7 linked regions of the Oryctolagus cuniculus genome follow. The protein of the gene in region 3 interacts with the protein of the main gene of each other region in a pairwise test. Links are inferred from orthologs where the notes say so. Each region holds a gene or a part of one and is shown on either strand. Other genes may lie near its edges.

Region 1 (3,500 bases), on a different chromosome or scaffold from region 3:
TCTCGAACCTCTGGTTTAACAACTGCTTCTGCCTCCGGCTGTTGTCCTAGACCATCCAAGGGAGAGAAGAAGGGCGCTGCTGAAACCCTGTGGCTGGGAGAGCAGGGATGCTGGTCCTGCTTCTCAGTGTGACTCAGAGAGGCAAGAAAGCAAGGTGCACGTGGTTCTGGGCGAGTTCATGGCAGAACCGGAATCCGCCCTGCCAATCTTTCCAGAAACAACAGTGGATACTTTAAAGCAATGCCGTCACCAGGGGCTCTCTGTATCTTTGGCCCTGGGCTTCCCTTGTATGGATCCATTAAATTCTCAGAAAGACCCACTGATCCGGCCACTATATCATGATCATCATCATCACCAACACCACCAAAGCATGGAGAAGTTAAATAACTGAACCAAAGTCACAGAGCTACTGAGCAGCAGAGCTGGGAGTCGGACCTGGCTGAGCATATGCTAACATTTTTAGGAGGCCAGAAATGTTTTGGCCGTGTGAGCCAGAGATCAGAGAGGAGCAGTTCCCTTGGGAGCCTGCACTGTCCACGTCAGCCCACGTGTTCCCTCGCCCCCGCCCAGCCCAGGCTCACCTCGATGGTCCGGCACACTTCTTCCATCTGTGTGATCACTGCTTGCACGCGGTCGTTGCCTGCCACCAGCATCGCGATGCCGTCACTGAGCTCACTCTGCCGCACACACAGGCCAGCTTAGGGCTGGAGGAGCTGGCCCACAGCTGCTCCCCTCCCTCCCCAGCTGGGGCTGCAAGGGCGAGATGTGCTCCCTCCCCCACCCCTCCATCAGTGCATCTACAGAGATCTAGAAGGTTTGGAGCCATCCAGGAAGTGGGGAAGCACACTCTCTGGTTTCTGGAAGGAGACACAAGCCTTCCATCGCCAAAGGAACTGACATTCTCCAAACACCCTCCAAAGGCCAGCCACTGCGCTAGATGCTTTATCTGTAGATTCGTGTCTTCCATCAGTTCTGCAGCATTCCTAGTGGCTGTCATTCAGATAATATTGCTTCTTCTCCAGGCTCTGTTCTCTCATTCTGGGAGTCTGATCAGCCCGTTAGACATTCCTTTTTTTTTTTTTTTAATTTATTTGACAGGTAGAGTTATAGACAGTGAGAGAGAGACAGAGAGAAAGGTCTTCCTTCCATTGGTTCACTCCCCAAATGGCTGCTACAGCCAGCGCCACACCAATCCGAAGCCAGGAGCCAGGTGCTTCCTCCTGGTCTCCCATGCAGGTGCAGAGCCCAAGCACTTGGGCCATCCTCCACTGCCCTTCCGGGCCACAGCAGAGAGCTGGACTGGAAGAGGAGCAACCAGGACTAGAACCCAGCACCCATATGGGAGCTGGTGCCACAGGAGCTGGAGCCACGACACCGCGCCCCCCCCCCCCGTTAGACATTCTCATTCTCAACCTCTCATCCCCCAGGGCTGCATCCTGTTCTCAGTCCTCTTGTTCTATTCACTAATTACCTCTTCAGAGAAATCTGTCGTTTAATTAACTCCCTGAATGTTCTATTCCAACAATTAAGTTTATATTTCTTTTTTTTTTTTTTTTTGACAGGCAGAGTGGACAGTGAGAGAGAGAGACAGAGAGAAAGGTCCTCCCTTGCCGTTGGTTCACCCTCCAATGGCCGCCGCGGCCGGCGCGCTGCGGCCGGCGCACCGCGCTGATCCGATGGCAGGAGCCAGGAGCCAGGTGCTTTTCCTGGTCTCCCATGGGGTGCAGGACCCAAGCACTTGGGCCATCCTCCACTGCACTCCCGGGCCACAGCAGAGAGCTGGCCTGGAAGAGGGGCAACCGGGACAGAATCCGGCGCCCCGACCGGGACTAGAACCCGGTGTGCCGGCGCCGCAAGGCGGAGGATTAGCCTAGTGAGCCGCGGCGCCGGCCATATATTTCTTTTTTAAAAAATATTTTTTATGTATTTACTTGAGAGGTAGAGTTACAGACAAAGAGAGGGAGAGACAGAGAGAGAGGTCTTCCATCTGCTGGTCACTCCCCAGGTGGCTGCAACAGCTGCAGCTGAGCTGATCTGCAGCCAGGAATCTGGAGCATTTTCCCAGGTCTCCCATGTGGGTGCAGGGGCCCAAGGACCTGGGCCATCTTCCACTGCTTTCCCAGGCCACAGCAGAGAGCTGGATCAGAAGAGGAGCAGCCGGGAGTCCAACCAGTGCCCATATGAGATGCTGGTGCTGCAGGTGGAGGTTCAGCCCACTACGCCACAGTATTGGCCCCATGTTTCTATTTCTAAAAGCTTTATTTGATTCTTTGTCAAAAATGCATGATCAGAAGCCAGTGTTGTGGCATGGCAGGTAAAGCTGCCACCTGTGACGCTGGCACCCCACATAGGTGCTGGTTCAAGTCCCGGCTGCTCCACTTCCAATCCAGCTCTCTGCTGTGGCCTGGGAAAGCAATAGAAGATGGCCCAAGTCCTTGGGCCCCTGCACCCTGGTGGGAAGATCTGGAAGAAGCTCCTGGCTTCAGATCAAGCAACTCCAGCTATTGCAGCCTGCTGGGGGAGTGAAGCAGTGGATGGAAGACCTTTCTCTCTCTCTGCCTCTCCTTCTCTCTCTGTGTAGCTGACTTATAAATAAATCTTTAAAAAAATAAAGAAAGAAAGAAAGAAAGAAAGAAAGAAAAAAAGATGGCCCAGGTGCTTGGGCCCCTTCCTCCATGTCGGAGGCTCCTGGCTTTAGCCTGGCCCAGTAGGGTCTGTTGTAGCCATCTGGGGAGTGAATCAGTGGATGGAGGATATCTCTTTATGCTTTTTTAAAAGACTTATTTATTTGAAAGGCAGAGTTACGGGGTGGGAGGGGGGAAGAGAGAAATCTTCCATTTGCTGGTTCACTCCCCAAATCGCTGCAACAGCTGGAACTGAGCCAGGCCAAAGCCCGGAGCCAGAAGCTTCATCCGGGTCTCTCATGTGGGTGCAGGGGCCCAAGCACTTGGGCTGTATTCAGCTGCTTTTCCAGGCACATTATCAGGGAGCTGGATCCGAAGTGGAGCAGCCAGGACTCAAATTGGTGCCCATATGGGATGCTGACATTGTAGGTAGTGGCTTAACCTGCTGCACCACAATGTTGATCCTGATCTTGACTTAAAACCAAGCGATGGGGCAGATTTTTGGCACAGCAAAGATGCCGCATGGGATGCCCACATCCCATATTGGAGTGCCTGGGTTCCATTTCCATCTCTGCTTCCAATTCCAGCTTCCTGCTGGTGCATTCCTGGGAGGCAGCAGGTGACAAACCAAGTATTTGGGTCCCCGCCACCCACGTGAGAGATCTCAATTGAATTCTGGGCTCCTGACTTCAGCCTGGCCCAACCCTGGCCATTGCAGGCATTTGGAGAGTGAACCAGAAGATGGGTGATCCATGTTTGTTTCTTGGCTTTGGCAATGAAACTAAAATAAATAAAACCAAGCGGAATAAGAGGCCGACCCAGTCCTGGTCCCCAACCCTCTACTCCCTCCCTGCTGGATACCTTTTGGCGTTTGTA
Region 2 (3,971 bases), on a different chromosome or scaffold from region 3:
GGAAGATGGCCCAAATCCTTGGGCTCCTGCACCCACGTGGGAGACCCAGAAGAAGCGCCTGGCTCCTGGCTTTGGATGGGCAAAGCTCCAGCCATTTCGGCTGTTTGGGGAGTGAAACAGCGGGTGGCAAACATCTCTCTCTCTGCATCTGCTTCTCTATAAGTCTTTCAAATAAATCTTTTTTTTTTTTTTTTAGGAAAAAATGTTCTTTGTAACTTAGTATATAGTCATTGTTTTAAAAGAGTTTCTCTGCAGAAATCAAAGTAAGAAGCTTCCTACTTCTCTCACAACAGGTATCTCATACCATGGTTTGCAACAGAATATCTGGTCAATCATCGCTGTGTATCATATTTTGTAAGAATGGATTATCAGTTGGTTCACAAAACTGAGATGGTTAGGCAGAGAAATTTATCAAATGTTGGCCTTGAGTTCTAATCATTAAATAAGAACCTCAAAGACTGATGCTGTGGCCTAGTGAGTAAAGCTGCTGCCTGCGGTGCTGGCATCCCATATGGGCACTGGTTCGAGTCCCAGCTGCTCCACTTCTGATTCAGCTCTCTGCTATGGCCCAGGAAAGCAGTGGAAGATGGCCCAAGTGCTTGGGCCCCTGGACCCACATGGCAGACTGGGAAGAAGCTCCTGGCTCCCGGCTTCAGACTGGCCCAGTGGCCATTGTGACCATTTGGGGAGTGAACCAGCAGGTGGAAGATCTTTCTCTCTCTGCCTCTCCCTTTGTCCCTCTAACTCTGCCTTTCAAATAAATAAATAAATCTTTAAAAATAAAAACGAAGAACCTCTGCACTATCATAATTTAAAATGTTTTAAAATTACATGTTGTTAAAAATCATTCCCATCTTGCATATGTCATCTCTTAAAAATCAGTGTAAATGTTTTGCTCTTAAGTCCCTAACAATCTGATATATCACAGGTGGATAGAACCATTTATATACATTGAAATATTTACACTTCCTACTTTTTTAAAAAGATTTATTTATTTTATTTGAAAGTCAGAGTTACACAGAGAGAAGAGAGGCAGCGAGGCAGAGAGAAAGAGAGAGAGAGAGGTCTTCCATCTGATGATTCACTCCCCAATTGGCTGCAATGGCTGGAACTGCACCAATCTGAAGCCAGGAACCAGGAGCTTCTTCTGGGTCTCCCACATGGGTTCAGGGGCCCAAGGACCTGGGCCATCTTCCACTGCTTTCCCAGGCCACAGCAGAGAGCTGGATTGGAAATGGAGCAGCCAGTTCTGGAACCGACACCCATATGGGATGCCAGCGCTTCAGGCCAGGGCGTTAACCTGCTGTGCCCCTACTTCCTACATTTTTATTCTTTGCGCTCAAGTTTTCAATTGATAATCTATATTTTTTAAGGAATAAAATAATCTTTGCATCATACTGATGTTTCCTTCTCAAAGTCTGTGATAATTTGGGGAAGGGGTAATTAAATTATGTAAGTGTATGAGATTTTTTTAAAAAAGGGAAAACATAAAATAAATATTCCATATCTTAGGGAACTCCATAAGATGTATTTTTCTTGGAGCAGGTGTTTGGTTCAGCAGTTCAGACACTGCCTGGGACAGCTGCATCCCATACTGAGAGCCGGGGTGCAGTCCTGGGCCCACTTTCAGTTCCAGCTTCCTGCTCATGGCACACTGGGAGGCGGCAGCAGTGACTCCTGCACTTGCTTCCTGCCACACACATGGGAGAACCGGATCGAGTGCTGGGGTTCTGTGAGCATTTGGAGAGTGATCCAGCAGACAGAAGATCTACGTCTGTCTGTCTCTAGCTCACTCCCTCTAACTAAAATAAATGAATAAAGTACAGTTTTCTTCACAACCACATTACAAATTAACTTAAATTTTTTCCTGTTAAATCCTTCCTTTTGAGTTCAGAAATAGCTGATGGCTTATAGCATACCTTTTAAGAGAAATGGGAATAAGCATCTATTTTTTTCCTTGCTTAATTCTGTGAATGTTTTACATTAGTCTTTTTATATAAAAACAAAAGCACTTTTGGACCCTAACTCCTTAAAAAGGCACATTACACATAAGGTGAGTGTTCCTCTGATGCAGGTTTTCTCTCCACAAGAAACTGAAGACTTAGGGAAGTTAAAACCCACTTTCTTCGACCTAATCCATAATTTGTAAAGACTTCTCAGCTGTTGTGTGATTTCTGGGTGTTGTTCAGGGGTACTTGGGGACCCTGGCATTCAAAGTTGAAGGAAACTAGGAAACCAACCCAGGGCTGAGGGAGGAGGAACAGGAGGGGTGAAACACCTGTGACAGGCGGTGAGCCAGCATTAGGTTCTCCAGGATTCTCAGCCCCAGAGAAAGCGAAAGCTTCCTCTCCCAAGAGTTCGGGAAGAGTCAGTACTTGCAGTGCCTCTGGGGAAATGCCACTAGACCTGGGGTTTCTCTCAACTGTAGAAATCACAGCACAGGCACAAGCACTGCTGGCTTAGTGTTGAGGTAACCAAATGCCCACAGAGCTGAACAAGATCAACAGCAAAGTCAAGGTTAACACAGGTGATGCCACGGAAGCTCGAGAAATGCCGCCGTTATCTCAGAAGCCCAGAGTTCCCAGTCTTTGCAACTCTGCCACCCCCACCCCGATCCCCAAGAAATGAGCAGTTTTGTCCTGAGTGTCCTCACCTCCTCCCGGTCACCTCTTGCTGCAGGCGTCCTCTCTCGGCTGCGGCGTCCGAGTGGTGGCTGAGGCTCGCAGCCTCTTATCCCTTCCTTCCAGGGAGGACAGGGCGGAGGACTGTTGCAGTCCCACTGCAGCCGAGGCAGCCAATCAGGGCTGAGGGCGGAGGCGGCAGGGCAGCCAGGCCTGCACACAAGGCCGCATTGACCAAATGCTCCCCCCGCCCCCACCACACTTGCTGGGAAGCCAAGATCACACAGGGACTAAGGAAGAAAGAGGGCCTATGAGGCAGGAAGTGGGGAGTCAGCTTTTTGTGTTTAATTTTTTTTACATATTATATGAATATTGATGTTTCTCTAAAAGCGAGGTTGGGGGTAGGGAGAGGAGAGGGACATGGATTAATTGACTCAAACAAAGCAAATGTACAGCCAAGAAGGAGAGGCTTCGCGCACAGCTGAATGTAAGAGATGAAGTGGCCGTGGGCTGGTTTCCAATGAAGAGGCCAGCGAGCTGCTTCTGTCTGCCAGCCGCTCCTGGTCTGGCCTCTGGGGACATTAGTATGGCAGTGGTCAGCTCTGGGCCAAACGGCACCTCAGAAAAGCTGCGGGGCCCAGTGTCTGCAGGGACTCAGTGCGTGTTTGGGAAAGTCCTTGTTCAAGTCTCTTAGACAGAGAACATGCACCCGTGGAGCCCAGGCCTCCACCTGCACCCTAACTGAAAGGCCACCGACTGTCACGGCTGCACAGAATTTTGGAAACATCCTCTCCGAAGGCTGTTTTCAGAGGTGTAGAGAGAATGCCTCCCATAGAGGCCTCCACAAGCCATGGGAGAGTCACGTCCAGACTTCCTGCTGCCATCTTCACATGTGGAAACTGTGGGGAGCAACTGGGAGCAACTCAGACTAGACTAAGTTACTGGAATTAAGACTTATTCTATGCATCTGCTCTCCCACAATATGGCGCTGGGAGAGGAGCAAACAGCTTCTACCCAGCTGCCTCTCACCAACTTGACAAGCTGCAGGACCTGCTCCTGATTGGAGGAGAGCAGCGTACTCGGCGTGTGGGTAGCAGAGTTGGGATTGGTGGAAGAGGACTATAAAGGAGGAGAGAGACAACACGCACCAGGAACATCTATCTGAAGGAACATCTAAGGGGAACACCTGTGCAGCCCCCGAGAGAGCCGGCCGGCGGTGTGCCGCTCCCCTGCAGAAGTGGGGAATGTGGCCAGGGGGAACCGCCCTTCCACGGAGGTGGAAGGGACGGTAGCCAACCCGGGAAGAACCAGCAGCAAACCCGGGGAGGGCCGAGCAGACGAAAGAACAAC
Region 3 (2,563 bases):
CGGCGCACGACTAGGACAAGTCAGCTCTGAGAACCCAGCGACGGGTAATGGGGAGGGGGCACTGATAGACGTGAGAGGAAATGGACGAGGTCCTGGGCACCCGTGACGTGTGCCAGTGCCATTCCTGCTGCTCTCCCTCCTCAGAGCACATGCGCAAACACTCACAGACGGATGTCCCATCAGAAATGCGCTCGAGATAATCCAGGCTGGGAGGCCGTGGGGGAGTCCTGGGGGTCTGCTTGGAGAAGAAACAGAGCTGCCCAGGAGTGACAGGACAGGCCCAGTCCACCATCCTCTGTGAGGTGTGTGGACAACTTCTATTCAGGGCAAAGACAGACTGACGGAAGTCCCTGGCACGCAGCAGTGGCTCCGTGCCCAACAGCTACTGTTGTTCTGTGCTGAGCACACTGCTTTAGGGGTACGGAGTGACCTCCCAAAGCCACACAGCACCGTTTCTCCAAAGTCCTGCCTGGGCAGTGACAATGATTACAAGACACTCATTGAAATCGAATTTTTATTCCAAATGACTGTAATCATCTAGAAAGACAAGAGCGGGCACTCGGAACATGTGCTGAGCTGGAAAGTGAAAGCAGCTGGGTCACAGGAGCGCACCCAGTGGGGTGCCAGCCCTGGCCCTCGGACGCGGTCACACCCAGGAAGGCCTAACGGCAGCCAACGTCCTTCTGACACACAGTCGGCACGTGCGGCACTTACAGAAAATAACATAAAAAGCAGGAAGAAGAAAGGAGGGAGAAAGAAAAGGAAAAGAAAGGAGAGAAGAGTTCACAAAATCCCAAGCCTCAGAAATCGACATTCGCTCAAGAACACAGTGGTGAGGACTTCCGGTAGCACAGTTCTCACAACCCTTAAAAGGGCGTCTTGCAAAGAACTTCCTGGACTCCGAAGCTAAAAACCAAAGAGGGGACCGCTGCGCGGGCTTCACCGGATGTGATCAGTCCTGCTTCCCAGACGCACGGAGGACCGGCGAGCCTGCCGCGCCGGGAGGCCGGGTCGCCGACCGCACAAGGACACGTCGGGTCGCCTCGGCACCCACGGCGGGAGCCGCAGCTACTGCTCCTCCTGGCTGAGGCTGAGGTTGCCCTTCTGCACCTCGAGCTCCTCGGCACTGACCATGGACGGGTCGATGGCCGCGTACTTGGTTCCGTGGAACTGCAGCAAGTGTATCTGTAGGGAGGAGCGTGGCGGATTCAGTGGCTGCTGACGGGACGACACGCGCGCGGCCTCCCACGGGAAGCTCGGGAGGAAAGCGACCCTTACACACACGCTAACTACAGAAGAACTGGGGAGCAGCGGGGGCGGAGAGTTTGTATGCGCGATCTCTACTGCCACTGTTTCGCCCGTGCTGCACCTCGCACGCTCCTGCCCCTCCCACCTGTGCTGGGAGCTGGGTCCTTCCAGTCTTCCTGCCGTGATGAAGATCTCCGCCCGACACGTTTCCCCGTGTTTAGGATCCTCTCCTGAGGATCTGTTTCCACAAGGGGATGACTTGTTCAAAGTACGTGACTGCTTTTGCTACTTCCTGCCAAACTGCTATTCGCATAGAATCACGTGCCCCGCACCGACGGGATACGTTCTGAGAAGCACCAGCAGACAAGCTCGCTTTGTGTGAACTCACACCAGGTGATGCGACCACCGCGGGACAGGCGGTCTGGCCCATCGTTGACTGAAATGTCTTCATGTGTGTGTGCGCGTGTCGGCGTGTGTAGGGGGCGGGGTTTATGCGTTAATGTCAGGTCAAGAAGGCGCTGCTTCATGGATTCAGACTGACCCCATTTGGGTCTGGTGTCCGGCTCTGACTGACCTTGCCCAGGAGGCAAGGTCGTAGCCTAGCAATGACTACCTCCACTCGAGGCTGTGGGCCTGTTGTTCTAGAAAAGGGATAATGGGCGGAGTCACAGAAGGGCCTCTAATGCACCCGACTGAGTTCTCTAAATTGTGTACGCCCCTCACATGTATGAAATCAATGCCTCATTGCTACAGAGAACTCTGTAATTATCTTACTCCACCCCACCCCCAAAAACAGCACAAATAAAGCTTCATGTTGCAAACCACACGTTTTGGGCCCGAAGTGCTCGCAGCTGGGACTCACCTGTACATAAAGGTTCACCTCTGCACTTCTGCACAGGTATGGGAAATTGCCTCCTGTTTTAAGGTGAGCTCTCCGGGCGTTGGGATACAGTTTGTACATTTCCTCCTTCGCTTCGGTTGAAAGTGCACTCTGATCAAACACCTTTAACAGAAACACGAGGCTGAAACTTGCTGGCATTTTAATGTGCTCTTCTCGCATTGTGGAAAGTGCCACCCCAAGTCCTCATGCTAACGAGGAGCCAGTGCTGAGCCCGAGCCGCCTCCCAGTGCTGAGCCCTGTTCATTTCTCACTCCCATCTGAGACATTAGCTACTGACTGCAGCCAACCGTCTCTCGCATTCTTTGGGGGTGTGGGGGGCTTCCACTGTGAATTTCCTTTGCCCTCAGCTGTACTTAATTAAATTAACAACATTAATAGTGAACAGTCAGCATTTCTTAAAACTGTACATGTTTA
Region 4 (4,214 bases), on a different chromosome or scaffold from region 3:
GGTAGTCAGCCAAGCACAAAAACATAACAAAGCAGGAAACACCGGACAGAACAGATGGGTCCAGATAGTAGATAATCCTGTTAAAAAAAATTAAAGAAGCTTAGAAAACAGCCAGTATTATGCCTGGCTGCAGATGCTTAATTTCACAATTCACTCAGTGCCGTGGTTCTCAGAGACGTTATTTGGCACTAATTTCCTCACCAGTGGTTTCCAGAGGCTTCATAGCATGATGACGTCACAGCCGCAGTGGCTGATATAAATACCAACCTACAAAGGCTTTCGGAAACCCCCAGTACTTTTTAAGATTGTAATGGTAAGATGGTAATGGTTTTGAGCCAAAAGGCTTGAGAGTCACCGAGTTATTCAACTGCGTCAAGTTACCAAGCTTACATAAGTACTACCAACTGTGGAAACCCAGCACGGCTTGTAAGAAAAGGCATTCTTGATGGATTACAGGCTACAAAAGGCTTCATTAAGGTGCTGCCCTGAACAGAGCCTTCAGCGCTACCAAGCGCACGCAGCCCATGGAGTCCCCCGGCTCACTTACAGAAACACCAGGGAGACCACAGCCAGGAGGGCAGGCGGGAACCAGGCTCTCTCCCACCGCAGCACTTTGTCGGCCAGAAGCATCACCTCTCCCCAGCCCTGCAGCTGCTCCTCCAGACTCGCCGTCTCTGCAGCCTACACGGGGCAGAAGGGAAAGCGGCCATTTCATCACTCAGCATCTCCGTGGTTCTAACAGTTACATCTTCCCAAGGCCAATCAATAGGTGAAACACCTCCTCATTCCAATCTTCAACAGTTTCCTTTCTGAGGAACTCTGCAATTTTGTACCAAAGATGGGAATCAACCAGGGGGCTAGGGGAAGCCTCTCCTTGTTTTTTTTTTTTTTTTTAAGATTTTATTTGAAAGAGTTACAGAGAGAGGTAGAGACAGAGAGAAAGAGAGAGGTCTTCCATCCCCTGGGTCACCCTCCAGATGGCTGCAACTGCTGGAGTTGCACTGATCCAAAGCCTAGGAGCTCCCTCCCCATCTCCTACGCGGGTGCAGGGCCCCAAGGACTCGGGCCATCTTCTCCTGGGCAGAGCCCACCCTGTAGTGAATCCAAGCACGGGGCGACTCCTCACATACATGATGGAGCTCAACCCTTACAGAGCTGGCAATGTAGGGATGCGACTCATTTCACAGTGAAAGCAAGTGGGCTCCAAACCTTCCCAGGCGTGGACAGGCAATCAGTGGCAGCACCCAGAGTGCTAATCAGATTAGACCACTCCAGGTTTGTTCATTTCAGGTGGTGGGAACTGGCCCGCAGCTCACTCACTTCATCCATCTCAATCCTACTCTCAATCCATTAGGAAAGCCTTCCCCTGAGCCGCACTCACCTTCTAAAACGGCTCTGTGTAACGGGAGCACTGAGATAGTGGGCTCCATTGCAAAATTAAGGAAAACAGCTTTCCAAATTACAAGTGCCATTCTACAGCGCTTCCTGTCGCTCGGGGTAGACTTCCAGTGTTCCTGCAGCCCTGACATCCCAAAGTGGGCCTTGAAGACGAGCTCAGGCCACAAACTCCCTGAAGCTCATCTTGGTAAAGGAGAAAACACTGGAACAGGAAACCCCAACGTCCCTGTGAGTACTTCCCCTTAGAACTAGGTGTCCTGGCTTTATCGCTCACGCTTACGACTAGTTAAATCAGAGATCACATGTGCCAAGAACCTTAAACTTCGCCTGATCCTCTCAATCGCCCTAGAAAGAAGGGGTTGTTGCCATCCCCGTTTCGCTGATAAGGAAACTGAGACGCAAAGGAGTTGACAGCGTCGGCCCCGGGAAGTCAAAGGCCTTGCTGTCCCTGCAGTCGGGCTGCTCTGCTGGGGACCCCAGGCTCCAGGTGAGACTCGGCTATTGCAACAGGACTTGGACAGCCTCGCTGTGCTTGCACCGATTCTCTTAGAAAGCAGCAGCGCAAAGCAAAAAACCACGCCCAATGCAAGCCGCCCTTCTGAGTTCGCCAACATCTGGGACCTTGGAACGCTCTCTCGGGTCCTGCCTGGACCGGTGCAGTTAAATCCGAATCCAATACGTCCACCCAAGGCAGGGCCTCGCTGCAGCTCCCCCGGATCCTCTCCAGCCGTCCTGTGAGCTCCCAGCCCCCGGCCTTCCCAACTCCAGGCCCAGGCCCGGTTCCCCATGGGGAGCTCGCAGCCTCCCTGTCCTTGTAAGCTGCGCCAGCTCCAACAGAAATCCTCGGCCGTGGCCCTGGGACCCTCCATCCCCGCTCAAGTCTTAGACGGAGGAGGACGAGCGCTCGCCCAGGGTGAGATCCAAGGCGGACAGGACCGCGGCGAGGCCCGAAAGCCACCGCGCGGCCCCTCGCAGCCCCCGTCCCGCACTCCTCAACCCCCACTCGCAGTGACTAATCACGCGCCCTCCTCGCCCCGCCGCGCACCGCCCACCGGGAGCCGCCCACGAACCCCGAAGGGACGGGGGTCTCCCGGGCTGGGCCGAGGAGGGACGGGCCCGTGGCGGGGACAGGAGCGAGGCCGCGACGACCGTCCCCGCCGAGCCCACCGGCCGGCCCAGCTCGGTTCCTGCGGGCAGGCCTCCGGGACTCACCAGCAGATTGGTGCTGCGATTATCTCCCTCCGCCATCGTCCGTCAAGAGTCGTCTCAGCGAACCCGAGCCGCCTCTCCAACCTCAACCTCCGCTGGAAACCCGCACAGTGAACACAGCGCGAGGGAACGCCCCGCAGGTCGCTTATATAGGCCGGCCGCCTTTCCCGACAGCACCCGCGACGCTCGCTCCTCATTGGGTGAATCGAGCGCAGGTTTCAGGAAAGCCCCACCAACCACAGCTCAGCGCATGACTTGAAATCGAGGTCAAAGGAGAGAGGGGCCGCGCCGGGCAGAGGGGGCGGGGAAACGGAATAACCAATGGGCGCCCAGGGATTGTGCGGCGCCCCGCCCAGGGCTCGCGGAAGCGGTTCAACTGTCGCTGCCGGCGGCGGAGGTTTGGTTGGCCGAGAGTGGACGCCACCGTAGCCGCGGGACCCTCCCGGCGTTGGCTCCGCTCAGCGCCTAAGGAACCCCTCTGGAAAACTGAGTAGTCGTAGAGGTGTGCGGTGTCAGGCGGAGGGCAGAGATGGGCACGCGGCGCGGGACAGTGGCTGGGGCGGGCCGACCGCGAGTCCGTCTCCCAGCGCCGCGGTCCCTCGCCGTCCCCGGCCTGTGAGCGGCTTAACCCAGATTTGTGACTCGTGCCCACCTCGTGAGGTTCTGAGAACCAGTGAATGGAGCTGTTGATGTGGCTTCTGCCGCAGCGTATTCAGGAATGAGGTCTTTGGGTGGGGGTGGGTGTCAAAGTGAGAGAGAAATCCTTCATGGGGCATTTTTTTTTTTTTTAATTTATTTATTCGAGAGGCAGGCAGAGTGAGAGAGGCCTTCCATTCTCCGGTTCACTCCCCAAGTGGCCCCAACGGGTAGGGGGGCTCAGAGCCAGGAGCTTCCTCCGGGGCTCCCATGCAGGTGCAGGGGCCCAAGGACTCGGGCCATCTTCCATTGCTTTCCCAGGCCACAGCAGAGAGCTGGAACTGGTGACCCAATGGGATGCTGGCACTGCAGGCGGCGGCTTTACCCGCTAAGCCACAGCGCCGGGCCCCTTGGTTTAAACTACAAACTCCCCCTGTACCAAGTGATTAATAGCGCCTTCCTTCCATTAGAGAGAGCTGGATGAACTCTGTTGAGATCCTTCTCCATCTTTTCCATCTTGGACTTCAAAATGCGTTAGCAAGCTCTTGTCTGAATCACGCCAAATGTTGGCCTAGACAGAGGTTCGTCTCAGGGAAAGTACTGTACGCTTTATCCTTATAAACCCATGTGTATTAATGCCACCGACTTTATCCTGAAAGCACTCTTCAAATAACAACCAGGTTCTGAAAAGTTCAGGGAAGTCAAAGAAAAGCCCTGAGCAAACTGGACCAACCAGGAGCCTTGTGAACTTAGCGGAAGTGTCAAATCTGACCGCGATCTTTGGGGGCGGGGCGATCACCTGGCCTCCCCAACGTTAGAGGTCTCTGCTATGGGGGACGCTGCAGGAAAGTTCAGGTTGTATAGGTAACGTACAGTCAATAAAGACCTCGTTTGTTTTACATTGAGAGCTGCAGCTCCCATCCACTGGTTCCTTTGCCAAATGGGGCTGGGAAAACCTGACAGGAGTGGAG
Region 5 (4,065 bases), on a different chromosome or scaffold from region 3:
TTTTCAAACTCCACCCACTGAGCGCAACAAGTGGAATTCTCCCATTCTGAAAAAGGTCTCGATTTCTCCTGTATCCAGGGAGACACTGAAAACTCCTTGACGTGAGTCAAGTAAGGCAAGGGGAACGGTCCAGCCAAGGCCAGGGTCAGGGAGGCGCTCAAGTTTCCGTTCACCAAATGAAAAAAAAAAAAAAAAAAGAAGAAGAAGAAAAGAAAGAAAGAAGGGGTGGTGGGGAGGAGGACAGCAGGGCTGGGAGGACAGCTATCAGGCAACACTGCTCCCAAGTCTGCGGGACCAAGGTCCCCTGGCATCGCCTCTCCATCTCCGGCTCCACGTGCATCCAGGCCTGTGGCACGCAGACGAGCCCCAGCGCTTGGGTCCCGGCAGCTTAGTGACCCCCAGGCCCCACGGTGCTCACCGGCCCGCTGTCCGCGCAGTTGCGGGGAGCGCAGAGGGCGGGGGAAGGAGGACGAAGCGCAGCCCCGGCTCCCGCGCGGTTATCTTACTGCGCAACAGCCTCACCAGAGCTGCCCGCGTACATCCCGCAACGCGCCTTGCGCACCTGCCGGGTCCAAGCAGGGTGAGCCGTGATCCCATTGAGCCCCAAGACGGCAGCGCCCGGCGCCGGGAGCACGGTGACGAAAGGGGCTGAGTGAACACCTGGCGCCCGGGGCCCAACAGTGCCTCCCGCACGTGGCTGTCACACCTGGCGCGCCCCTGCCTGGCACTCCGTACCCCTCACACTCGGGTGCGCCCCTGCCCTTCCCCCCTCCGCGTCACACCCCTGAATCTTTACCGTCGTTCCTTCCCCCCTATCCATCCTGGTCCCACCTCCCCCGCACCTGCTCCCACTGTCGTCAACCCCGGGAGGGAAAAGGGCCGGATGTTCGTCCCATGGCTAAAGGTAAACCGGAGAGAGTGAGGAGGTGGATCCCGAAAAGGATAGCCCGAGCATGCCCTCGGTCCAGCAACGAGGGCGTCCCCCCGACTGACCTTCTGTCGCGGGCCGCGTCGCCGTCCACCCCGGCTGGCCTCAATAGCCTCCTCGGCGCCGCCGCCTCTTCCCCGCGCTGCCTCCTCTACCCGCGTCGCCATGAGGTGACGGCAGCAGCCAAACAAGCGGCCCGACGAGAGGCACGGAACCTCTCAGGGCCTTGCGCCCCGCCCTCAAACCCTCCCGGCCTATCGCCGTATGTTAATCTTCCCACGTGACCGGAGGAGGTTGGCCCCTGAGGGGATGAAGCGAGATGGGGGTGGGGAGCATTGAATTCTGGGCTGGGCTTCTGCGAGGGCCGAAGGGCAGACAGAGGCCATGAGAGTCTGCGCGGACCCGAAAAAGGACTCGGAAACGTACTACAAATCCCAGCAGGCAGCGCAGCCACGACTCGCAGACCCTCAACGGCACTGAAGCGTAATACGGCGTCCTGAGAATGGGAGAGTAAGTGCTGTGCTGCGTGTGCAGCCTAATGGGTCTTGTAGTTTCTGCGGGCGATGTCCCGGTCCCGGAAGGTACACATTATCCTTCAGGGAAACTTTTAATATAGTCCAATACTTGAGAAGGAGCGGGGCCAGGGACGCTTTGTTGTGTTTTTGTTTTTGTTGCTGTTTTCTGAAATTGAGTGCGAATGGTTTGCTGATAAGGAAAGATACTTCGCTATGTTCATGGCGGGAACTGTAAAAGATCAGAATTTGAGGTTTGGGGCTTGGAGTGCTGCCCTTCCACCAGTTACTAAGGCTTCTCTGTCTCCCCCTCCTACAGAATGGGGCTGCCTCCTATTCACCTTGGCTGAGCCTTCAGCCCAGGACTTCTCGCACAGTTCTTTGCACTTAGCTGGACCCTAATTCATGTTGATTGTATCCTCCTCTCTGCCAGTCATTTCATTACTTCAGTTTTTCTACAGACTCGGTTTGCTGAATCAGTTTTTTTTTTTTCTTGATATGATTGGGAAGGAGAAGAGTTTTCCTCGGAAATATTTACTGTTTCCATATGATGGGAGTAAATCTCTAATGGCAGAGCCTCTGAAAGTTACACACCATTATGAAATCCTAACATATGAGAATTGTCTTAAATAACTCTTCATCAACGTGCAAATTCTGCGCCATTTTTTATAACAATTGAATACAAAACAGTGGTAGCAGGCACCAAAAAATTGATAACATATGAGAGCAAATTTCAACATTGGGGAAATTCCATCCATTAATTTTAATTACATTTATAAATTTGGAAAAATTACCATTCATCTGCTTTACGAGCAGAATACCTCAGTACAGCTTTGAGGCAGGTGGCCATACACCAGACTCTATAAAGCTGATGGTCTCAGTCACTTTGTCTCATCTTCTTAAAGACATAAGCCCCAGCAAGATGCAGAAGGAATCTATCATAATGCATTTCTCCAGGGAATTGAGTGACCAAATGTACAATAGTTAAATGATGGTACAATAGAATACCATACAACTACTAAAATGATAAGCACTTTTTAATTGATCTAGAGAAAAAGATTTCTTTTAGTAAAATTACCTGAGACTATGTTAATAGATGTTTAGAAGAGTATTCATCAAAATGTTAATAGTGTTTTCTCTGGGTGGTGAGATGGCAACTATTTTCACTTCATGAGTTTAGGCAGTCTTTAAGTATGTATGGAACAAAAAATGAATAGTTATGTTCACCAAGAAATTATTTTTATATCCCTTGTCTATATTCCCATGGAACAGTGATCTTTCTACATTTTACTTGTTGAACATGATGGTTAGTGGTATATTAAGCCTGTGATTTTAAAGTAAACTGAAAGTATGTTATTTCAAGAATTAAAGGAAAAAAGAAAGGAAGACAGGAAGGAGGAATTGAAAGAGAGAGGGAGGGAAATATGCTTATCTGCTTAGAATTGTTTCTATGAAATACATGAAATCTGTTCTCTATATTAATAAAAAGTTTTTGTTAAAAAAGGGAAAAAAGAAAATGAAATATACAAGTGACCTAACATATAGCTACTCATATATTAATATATAAATACCACGTGATATATGCATATGTGTGTATACACAAGCATGTTCACATGCGTGCACATACCAAGGAATGAGAATGAAGTGAAAAGATAGGAAAACAAGATGGTGTCATGATAAGTTGAATTTATTATATACATATCTTAAGGATTGTACACAAGCTGGAGGTGAACCAAATTTTTATTCTGAGCTTCTTGACAGCTGAGAAAATAGGAAAAAGCACAATTTACCGATTGATTCAAAACATCACAAAACAAAAACTAGTTGCTCTTATAATTTCTTTTTCTCAAAAGCAGGAGTTGAGAACTCCATCTGGGTCTCCCAGATGGTTTCTTTTTTTTTTAAGATTTATTTATTTACTTGAAAGAGTTACACACACACACACACACACACATACAGAAAGAGAAAGAGAGAGAGAGAGAGAGAGGTCTTGCATCCACTGGTTCGCTCCCCAGATGGCCTCATCGGCTGGAGCTATGCCGATCCGAAGCCAGGAGCCAGGTCTTCTTCTGGGTCCCCCATGCAGGTTTAGGGGCCCAAGTCCTTGGGCCATCTTCCACTGCTTTCCCAGGCCATAGCAGAGAGCTGGGTCAGAAGTGGAGCAGCCAGGTCTCGAACCAGCGCCCATATGGGATGCTGGCACTGCAGGCGGCGGCTTTACCTGCTGCACCACAGTGCTGGCCCCTCTTATAATTTCTTTAACATAGGTTCTGTTGCTCTTAAAATCCATTCACAAGGTCTTTGATGCTCTTCCTTTGAAAAGATGGAGTCGATTCCCCTTGCCTTGAATATGAGCCAGACTTAGAGATTTTGTTTCTAAGAAATACAGCATAGCAGAAGCAGAAGAATGCAGGAAAGTAACTTCCAAAGCAAAGTGAGAGAAAGGATAGCTTCTGCCTGGCTCTCTGGGTCTTGGATGACTCTCTTCTTCCTTGGATCTGGCTATCCTGATTTTTTGATAGACCCATTCTTTCATTAAAGTGTTATATTACAGGCCTCCAGAGAGGTTACTGTCAAGCCTTAGCCCAAGGCTTTGGAAAGCACTTTGCTTATCTCAGCCAGGAT
Region 6 (4,016 bases), on a different chromosome or scaffold from region 3:
TGGCCACAGCAGAGAGCTGACCTGGAAGAGGGGCAACTGGGACAGAATCTGGCGCCCCGACAGGGACTAGAACCCGGTGTGCCGGCACCGCAAGGCGGAGGATTAGCCTAGTGAGCCGCAGCGCCGGCCATATATAATTTTTAATAAAAGAAATTAACTGTTGGCTGTAAGATTTAGATTTTTTTTCTTAAGAAAAAAGATACTGGACTGTTGCTATCACTGAAAGTATAATATCCCTGTTCAGGAATCCTTTGACTACAGACATTGTCATTTCTCTATGCACTCTCAGTATGGTTTAGATTACGAAAGAGGCATATCATGTTGGGTAACCAACTAAGATTCCTTTCTGAGAAAATGTTAATAAATCTTCCAACAGCCCTTTGAAATTTCCTTTGGGTGGAAAATGATTCCCAGCTGAAAACACTTGAACTGTTTGATAATCTACAAATATTTTATCACCTCTTCAGGTGATGGATTATATTCAGAAATAGTTAATGTAAGGATAACTCTAAGGGCACAGAAATTATGCAAAGTTCAATTCTTCTATAAAAAGCTCTTAATGTGGTAGTGATATATTGAAAGATTGATTTCCAAGCATACATCTGGAGTCTATTTCTAAGGATTAGGGCAAGATGTCACACAATGTACATTTTTTAAATGCTACACGTTAGTAATAACATTAAAGTTCTACTCTGTGCTGTGGTTAGATGATTCACATGACATTGTAAATATTATGATTGAGTATCTGATATAACAGAGGAATCTTGGCATCTTAAGAAAGCACAACATCTTAGTCCATTTTGTGCTACTATAACAGAATGCTCTGGACTTCCAGTTTATCAAGAATTTATCAGAATTATTTCTTACCGTCTTGGAGGCTGGGAAGTCCAAGATCAAGGGACCCATATCTGCGAGGACCTTTTGATGCATCATCCCACGGCAGAAGGCTGCAGAGCAAGAGAACGTGAAAGTGAGAGGATAGCTCAGGATAACTCACTCACTCCTGTGAATACTTAATGACATTAATCACCTCGTTAGGCTTCTCTCTCCAACACTGTTGCATTGCAGATTAAGTCTGCAATACATGAACTCTGGGGACACATTCAAGTCATATCTATCCTTGCCCCCCAAAACTTATGTCCTTCTCACAATACAAAAATACATTCATTCTATTCCAATAACCCCAAGTCTTTTTCCAACATCAGAAGTCCAAAGTTCAAAATTTCATCTAAAATCAGATGAGACTTAAGCATGGATTATCCTGAGACAAATTCCTTTCCAACTGTGAACCTGTGAAACTAACAGGTATGCTTCCAAAATACAATGATAGAAGAACATAGGATAGAAACTTCTGTTCCAAAAAGAGAACTAGGAAAGAGCAAAGGAGTAGCCAATCTCAAGTAAGTTTAAATCTGAATAGGGTAAACATTAAGTCTCAAAGCAGGAGACCAAGCCACTTTGACCCCATGCAACACAACTGTGGACACTATGTCAGGATATTAGCCCTTGAGACCTCAAGCAAATCTGACCTTACGGCATGACAAGATTCAGTCTTCCCAATAGTTCGCCCAGGTTGGAAGTTCATGTCTTAAAGTTTTCCCAGGCTGAAGTGGCACCCTGTTGACCTTTGGTTCTAGAGTTTTTGGTGCTTCCCCGTTCTCAAGATCTACCACACATCTCCTTAGTGGGGACTCTGCAGCGACTCCTTCCTACAGTCCCATTGCACATTGCCCTAATGGAGGTGGTCTATGATGGCTCAAGCTCTGCGTCAAGTCTTGAGGGTAAGCATTCAGCTGATTTTGGCCTCTGCTGCTTGGTTTCTTATTCAGCTGCTAGTTAATGCACATCCTCAGAGGCAGAAGGTGATGGCTAAAGTACGTGAGTCTCTGCTACCCATAGGAGAGATCCTAATTGAGTTTTAGCTTCTAGCTTCTGCCAGCCCTGGCTGTTGCAGGCATCTGGGGATTGAACCAGCGTGCAGATATCTAAGTAAGAGGAGTATGAATATTTACTAGAAGTGTCCTCCTGGGATCCTAGAATGTCTGCAATGTCCTGTGAATTCTAGGTGGAGGCCACCATGGCTCCATGCCCTTATATTCCGTGCACTTGCAGAATTAATATCACATGAGCACCACTAAGGCTTATGGCCCTGCCAGACTGGCAGGTGTAGACACGCCTTGGCCCACTTGAGCTATGGCTGGGCAGCTGAATTTGGGGAATGAAATCCAAAGGTGCCTCAAGACAGTGAATGCTAAGTAGCCTCAGGTCCTTCTCTGGCAAACTTGCCTTCAAGTTCTGACCCTAGGCCTTGGTGGGAGGTGCCTCATGTCCCAACGCTGTTGCACTGTGGATAATTTTCCAACACATGAACTAACATCTCATGAAGAGTATGCCACTTTAGCTTGGAATCTCACAAAAATTAGGTTATGGTCAAGGCTATTAGAGGACAATGCAGCTTTGTTAGTCATAGATGAAGCGAGGAGGTGCAGCACAGGGGGAGGTAGGACAAAATAAGGTGTCCAACTTAGTGGACTTGGAAAAACTAAAACACCTCATGCTTCCTCCATGTGTCCTGGCTCTGCTAAGCACAGGGCGTAGTCAACAGGAAGAATGTACCTTTCCTGTGGTCAGGCTGGCTCCCGAAGAAGGAAACAGAAGGATGTGGCCTGCGTGAGCACATTTCGTTTCAGCTTCTCAGACTTCCAACATGGTCAGCACTTTCACTGCTCCCCCTTCCACTCTGGGGGATGACGGAGAAGGTAAAGAGGCCCAGTGTTTAGGGAAAGTCTTTCTTGCTGATTCTGTGAGCTGGGAATATGAGGTCTGCTCCAACGCTGCTCAGCTTTATCACTCTCCTAGCTCACTGGCCTAACCACACAGTCAATTAGGGCCATGACTCTTCTCTGAGAGGAAACAAAACCAGCTTCCAACTTCCAGCTTCAGCTTGCAACGCTGTACTGCACTGCACCTCAGTGACGATTCCTACTCCCCTGGCTACACCCTTGATGTCACTGGGCAAGAAACATCAGGTTCTTGCTGCTCTCTGCTGGACAGCCGACTCACCAGATGAGAACTGGGTTTCGTTCAAGCTGGCAGCCTTGAGGCAAGAGTGACCCCTGAATCCAAAACATGCTCTGTCTGCCCAAGCAGCCACCAAAAAGGGCTTTTAAAGGGAAGGAGGAGCTGCAGGTGGAGGTCAGAAGAAACAATGAGTGCAATCAACTGACAAGCATATTTGCAGGCTTTGTTCTGCTGATGGTCTGATGAGGAAAGCTGGGGCACTAGCCAGCTGGAAGGTTCTTGTGAATGCAGCTCAACTGTTTGCACTTGATGGCCGCATGCTTTCTCCTTAGCTGGGTGTGAGGTCTGCCTTTCCATCTCCTTTCAGTGGGCTCTGAAGTTCTTATGCAGACATTATTATTCTAAGACACAGGCACTTCATAATATCAGTAGGTTTGTTTTGTTTTTCTTTTTAAATAGGAAAATTGAAAGGAAAATATCTTCATTACTGTTACATTAATACTGTGCTCTGCTTACCACTGCAGCATAAATCATATCTCAAAACACAGTAAGATACAACACTCATTTTTTTAAGGCTCACTGAATGAGCCAATGTGAAAGTCTTGTCTTTGCTCTACCACCTCTGAGGCCTTGATCAGAAGGACTCAATAGCTGGGGATGACTGGACAGCTGAGGAAAGATTTGGATGCTGTTTCATACACATTTCTTATGACTGAATGTAGGCGACTGAATCTGCGGGATGGGACCACACCTGGTGCCGTGGGCTAGAGCTCCGATGCATTGCTGCTTCATGTAGACTGTGGACTCCAGTGCACTTGGGTTGCTTACACAGCAACTCAAGGCTACAAAGCCAGCAGCCCAAGACAACCAGGAGGCAGCTACATGGCCTATCAAACTTAATCCAGATAGTTAGGCATGTCACTTCTGTTGCATTTGATGTTTTCATCAAGTCCCTGAAGGAAGCAAAATTCAAGGGGAACAGACATAAACTCTCA
Region 7 (3,500 bases), on a different chromosome or scaffold from region 3:
GGCAACTACCCAACTACATGCATTTTTCCAATAAGAATGGCGCTGGCTTTATCTGAAGAACAGTAACATTGTCCATTTTGGTTTTTTTTAACAATGTCCAATAATCATGCATTACATAATGTTTCAGTCAATAACAGACTGTATACACAATAATGTCTCCCAAGATTATACGTATCACATAGCGACATCATAGCCATCTAAGTTTGTAGAAGAACATAATATGATACTCACACAACAATGAAACTGCTTAAGGACACATTTCCCTGAACATCTCTATCACAAGGTAAAAGCAATGTTTTATTAATTCTTTCCACTAAACAACACATTAAGACCACAGTCTTGGAAGGGAAAACTTTACAATTCCAAGGTCCCTTTTATGGGATTTAAGAACTCAAAATTGTTTTATTTTGAATTATCACATCCTGTAAAACACTGCTATATAATCAATTATAAGTAATACATTTCTATGTCTATAATTCTATTCAAATTACAACCAGCAGTTAATCTAAGCAACTAATGATGTCAGGTACTCTTTATACATCAAAAAGTATTCAGTAAAATAGCCTACAATGCATTTAAGGAATCTACAAATTACTACTACATCCCTAAACTGTACTATCCAATACATTAGTCTCACATCAAGTGGCTACTGAGCACCTGAAATGTGCTGCAATGTGTTTGAACTGTTTCAAAATCAGTCTCATATCCAGATTCCTAATACACAGTGCCAAATGCAATTTAATAACTTTTTAACAGGGATTACATGTTGATGTACTACATATGTTGAGCTGAATAAAACCTAATTAAAATTAACTTTTTAAAAACTCTAATGTAGCTAAGAGAAAATTTTAAACTACACATAGTACCCATTTAACTCTTTCAGAAGCCTGATTTAGAATGAAATCAGCTATTAATCTTTTGATGTCACATAGCTAATTTTTATATTGTATGTTTTAATGTAACCTAAAAGTAACAGTTGTAGCAAGGCAAACTATTGATGCCATCTATGCAAATTCAATGACTATCAAATGGTATTAATTTGATGCCTCTGGCAAAAGAGGCAGGAGAGAATTTTTATTATATAAACCTTCATTTTACAATTCTTACCTATTTGAAAATACTCAATTAAAACCAACCTCTCATAATCTGAGATACTGCAACCTTATTTGTAACCCTTCCAACTGCATTCTACAATAATATAAACTGAATTAAAGCAGTACTGTTTTTAAACAGTTTTAGTTCACCTGAGTTAGTATTAAACTCTCCTCGTATCCAAACTCTGCTTTTGCTTCCCTGTTTCATCCCCACCTGCTACAGTTCCGCTTTGTTGTTCTAGTTTCGACAGTTGCATTTTGGTGCAGAGGAAGACTGTAACTGAGTTAGTTAAAAAATTGAAAATTCTTCCCAGAGCACTGATTTATAAGCAAAATGCCACCTGCTAGTGTTTAATGACTAGCATTTGTTCAAAGAACAGCTCTGAAAGTATCACCACAGGACAAGATTCTATTCGCAAAGCAGCCAATTCATTTTAGGTTTGGTTTGGTTTGGTTTTTAATGTTACTGATAACCTCAATCACTTGCTTCTGGTGCTGAAAACTTACCATACCACCACCTGACCCCTTATACAAATACTTGGGAGCACTACCTGGTCACTGTTTCGAAGTGGCATGTGTTTTTAAGGGTCCGTGGGCAATTCACCAAAATAGTGTTCTGGCATCTGGAAGGCACCCTAAAGTAAGTATTCAGCACTGACATTTGCCATGCTCTGCAGTGCCTCACAGTTTCCAGTGTGGGACCTCAGGGGCCTACTCTGGGCTTGTGGCCTCTGAATCCTCTTCAACCACAACAATGACCCCTTCATTCGTTTTAAATTCTGAGCTTCCGAGTTACATTTCATTCAGGACTAAAAATATCCTTATAAAACCAGTGGTTTAGTCCAGTTTTCACATTTTATTGTGACAGGTGATCAAAACCGAGACCTCAACCTGTTAATCCAACATACACTATTTTAGAGCAATTTGGCTTAAAAATATTACTTTTTTTTCTATTAAAGTCATTTTGCTAACTGGATAAAAACATGAAAAGGCTTTCCAAAAAGAGTATACTTAAAGACATTTACACTTCTACTCTTAACATCCTTTTAAATTACAAAAATAATGCAGAGATGCTGAAGGGACAAGAGAGGGAAATACAGTAACATGTAAATATTATGCAAAATAAAATGTAAAGCCCCCCTTCTGAATTTCACTTTCTTCACCAAGGTCACTACTAGCTATAGTGACTGGTATGCTTCCTTCCTAATCTTCCATTCTATAATTATATCATATAAATGTTTTATAATTTTTGTTTTGTTTTCTCTTCAATAATCAAAAAGAAATTATATCTTTTTTAACAACAAATCATGCCAACTCAGTAAATCGAAGTTCTTCACAGCTGTGTTCACAGTGTAACTGCATATGTAAGCTGTTTGCTACCCAGCAATGCTCCGATAAACATTTCTGCGTGTGTAACTCTATTTTACCTTCAATCTGACCTGCTTGTGTCTGAGCTCCTGTGTACGGTGGCTGCTGCGGCTGGACTCCTGGTGGGTGAGCTGCTGAGGAGGAGGAAGCAATGCTGTCAGGAGTGCCTGATCGATCTTCTGCAGGAGCACTTGGTGGCCCTGGATAGTCATGAAGTCAGTTTAGTACCCCATTTAAGGTCTTTGCCCAGCAAGCTCAATTACTAAGTTTGGTTAAGAGAGACAAAATAAATAAATAAAATAATAATATAATATATATATATTTACATATAATCATAGAATATCTCCATAAATGCAACATTTTACATTAACTGCATGTACTTGATATTTTCTTTTGCTCCAGTCTTAAGAAGCAAAATCTACAACTGGAAATCCTTCTCTATAAACTAGAGTGTGCTATATTCCTAAATCCTAACCTCTATCTACAAAAATCAAACCCATGTCTGCAATACCAGTTTCTGTAGCCTCATGTCAGCTATTTTGTAGATGAACCAAAGACATTACTTCATTCTTCAATGAGTCTCCCCTGCCCATAAATTAAGTCCAGTCCTCTAGAGTTCAGGATTCAAGGATCCAAACACTTCTCATAATTCTCATGTTACCTCCTTCAGCTAAACAGACCTATTCCTTATTTCTACAAGAAATCTAATATTTTTGGCTTGTTTATCACCTCTACTTTGTTCCTTATATGAGGTTACTTCAAAAATTAAAGGAAAGGCCGGCGCCGTGGCTCAATAGGCTAATCCTCCACCTTGCGGCGCCGGCACACCGGGTTCTAGTCCCGGTCGGGGCGCTGGATTCTGTCCCGGTTGCCCCTCTTCCAGGCCAGCTCTCTGCTATGGCCAGGGAGTGCAGTGGAGGATGGCCCAGGTGCTTGGGCCCTGCACCCCATGGGAGACCAGGAAAAGCACCTGGATCCTGGCTCCTGCCATCGGATCAGCGCGGTGCGCCGGCTGCAGCGGCGGCCATTGGAGGGTGA

The links.
Region 1: the proteins of SPG21 (region 3) and TRIM54 interact in binary tests that used the Homo sapiens proteins (3 or more experiments, as listed by UniProt). The two-hybrid records come from large-scale screens. The link is inferred for Oryctolagus cuniculus from reciprocal best matches to the Homo sapiens genes SPG21 and TRIM54.
Region 2: the proteins of SPG21 (region 3) and S100B interact in binary tests that used the Homo sapiens proteins (3 or more experiments, as listed by UniProt). The two-hybrid records come from large-scale screens. The link is inferred for Oryctolagus cuniculus from reciprocal best matches to the Homo sapiens genes SPG21 and S100B.
Region 4: the proteins of SPG21 (region 3) and ARL6IP1 interact in binary tests that used the Homo sapiens proteins (3 or more experiments, as listed by UniProt). The two-hybrid records come from large-scale screens. The link is inferred for Oryctolagus cuniculus from reciprocal best matches to the Homo sapiens genes SPG21 and ARL6IP1.
Region 5: the proteins of SPG21 (region 3) and CTPS2 interact in binary tests that used the Homo sapiens proteins (3 or more experiments, as listed by UniProt). The two-hybrid records come from large-scale screens. The link is inferred for Oryctolagus cuniculus from reciprocal best matches to the Homo sapiens genes SPG21 and CTPS2.
Region 6: the proteins of SPG21 (region 3) and CCDC102B interact in binary tests that used the Homo sapiens proteins (3 or more experiments, as listed by UniProt). The two-hybrid records come from large-scale screens. The link is inferred for Oryctolagus cuniculus from reciprocal best matches to the Homo sapiens genes SPG21 and CCDC102B.
Region 7: the proteins of SPG21 (region 3) and TFG interact in binary tests that used the Homo sapiens proteins (3 or more experiments, as listed by UniProt). The two-hybrid records come from large-scale screens. The link is inferred for Oryctolagus cuniculus from reciprocal best matches to the Homo sapiens genes SPG21 and TFG.

The regions. Positions count from the first base shown.
Region 1 is NC_091433.1:175,678,324-175,681,823, forward strand, and holds part of TRIM54 (tripartite motif-containing protein 54), read right to left. Parts: coding exon 3,486-3,500; intron 678-3,485; coding exon 582-677; intron 47-581; coding exon 1-46. UniProt on the Homo sapiens protein: May bind and stabilize microtubules during myotubes formation.
Region 2 is NC_091435.1:236,259-240,229, reverse strand, and holds the start of S100B (protein S100-B), read right to left. Parts: upstream 2,801-3,971; 5' UTR 2,654-2,800; intron 1-2,653. UniProt on the Homo sapiens protein: Small zinc- and- and calcium-binding protein that is highly expressed in astrocytes and constitutes one of the most abundant soluble proteins in brain.
Region 3 is NC_091443.1:87,989,013-87,991,575, forward strand, and holds the end of SPG21 (maspardin), read right to left. Parts: intron 2,252-2,563; coding exon 2,111-2,251; intron 1,186-2,110; coding exon 1,069-1,185; 3' UTR 501-1,068; downstream 1-500. UniProt on the Homo sapiens protein: May play a role as a negative regulatory factor in CD4-dependent T-cell activation.
Region 4 is NC_091450.1:20,962,133-20,966,346, forward strand, and holds the start of ARL6IP1 (ADP-ribosylation factor-like protein 6-interacting protein 1), read right to left. Parts: upstream 2,801-4,214; 5' UTR 2,647-2,800; coding exon 2,611-2,646; intron 682-2,610; coding exon 548-681; intron 78-547; coding exon 1-77. UniProt on the Homo sapiens protein: Positively regulates SLC1A1/EAAC1-mediated glutamate transport by increasing its affinity for glutamate in a PKC activity-dependent manner.
Region 5 is NC_091453.1:2,941,364-2,945,428, reverse strand, and holds the start of CTPS2 (CTP synthase 2), read left to right. Parts: upstream 1-1,265; 5' UTR 1,266-1,438; intron 1,439-4,065. Other genes in the region: TXLNG (gamma-taxilin), read right to left, coding at 994-1,095. UniProt on the Homo sapiens protein: Catalyzes the ATP-dependent amination of UTP to CTP with either L-glutamine or ammonia as the source of nitrogen. Constitutes the rate-limiting enzyme in the synthesis of cytosine nucleotides.
Region 6 is NC_091441.1:10,047,477-10,051,492, forward strand, and holds the start of CCDC102B (coiled-coil domain-containing protein 102B), read right to left. Parts: upstream 2,801-4,016; 5' UTR 2,681-2,800; coding exon 2,617-2,680; intron 948-2,616; coding exon 868-947; intron 1-867. UniProt on the Homo sapiens protein: During interphase, forms fibers at the proximal ends of centrioles to maintain centrosome cohesion. During mitosis, dissociates from the centrosome following phosphorylation to allow centrosome separation. Contributes to CROCC/rootletin filament formation.
Region 7 is NC_091435.1:55,302,295-55,305,794, reverse strand, and holds part of TFG (protein TFG), read right to left. Parts: intron 2,663-3,500; coding exon 2,522-2,662; intron 1-2,521. UniProt on the Homo sapiens protein: Plays a role in the normal dynamic function of the endoplasmic reticulum (ER) and its associated microtubules. Required for secretory cargo traffic from the endoplasmic reticulum to the Golgi apparatus.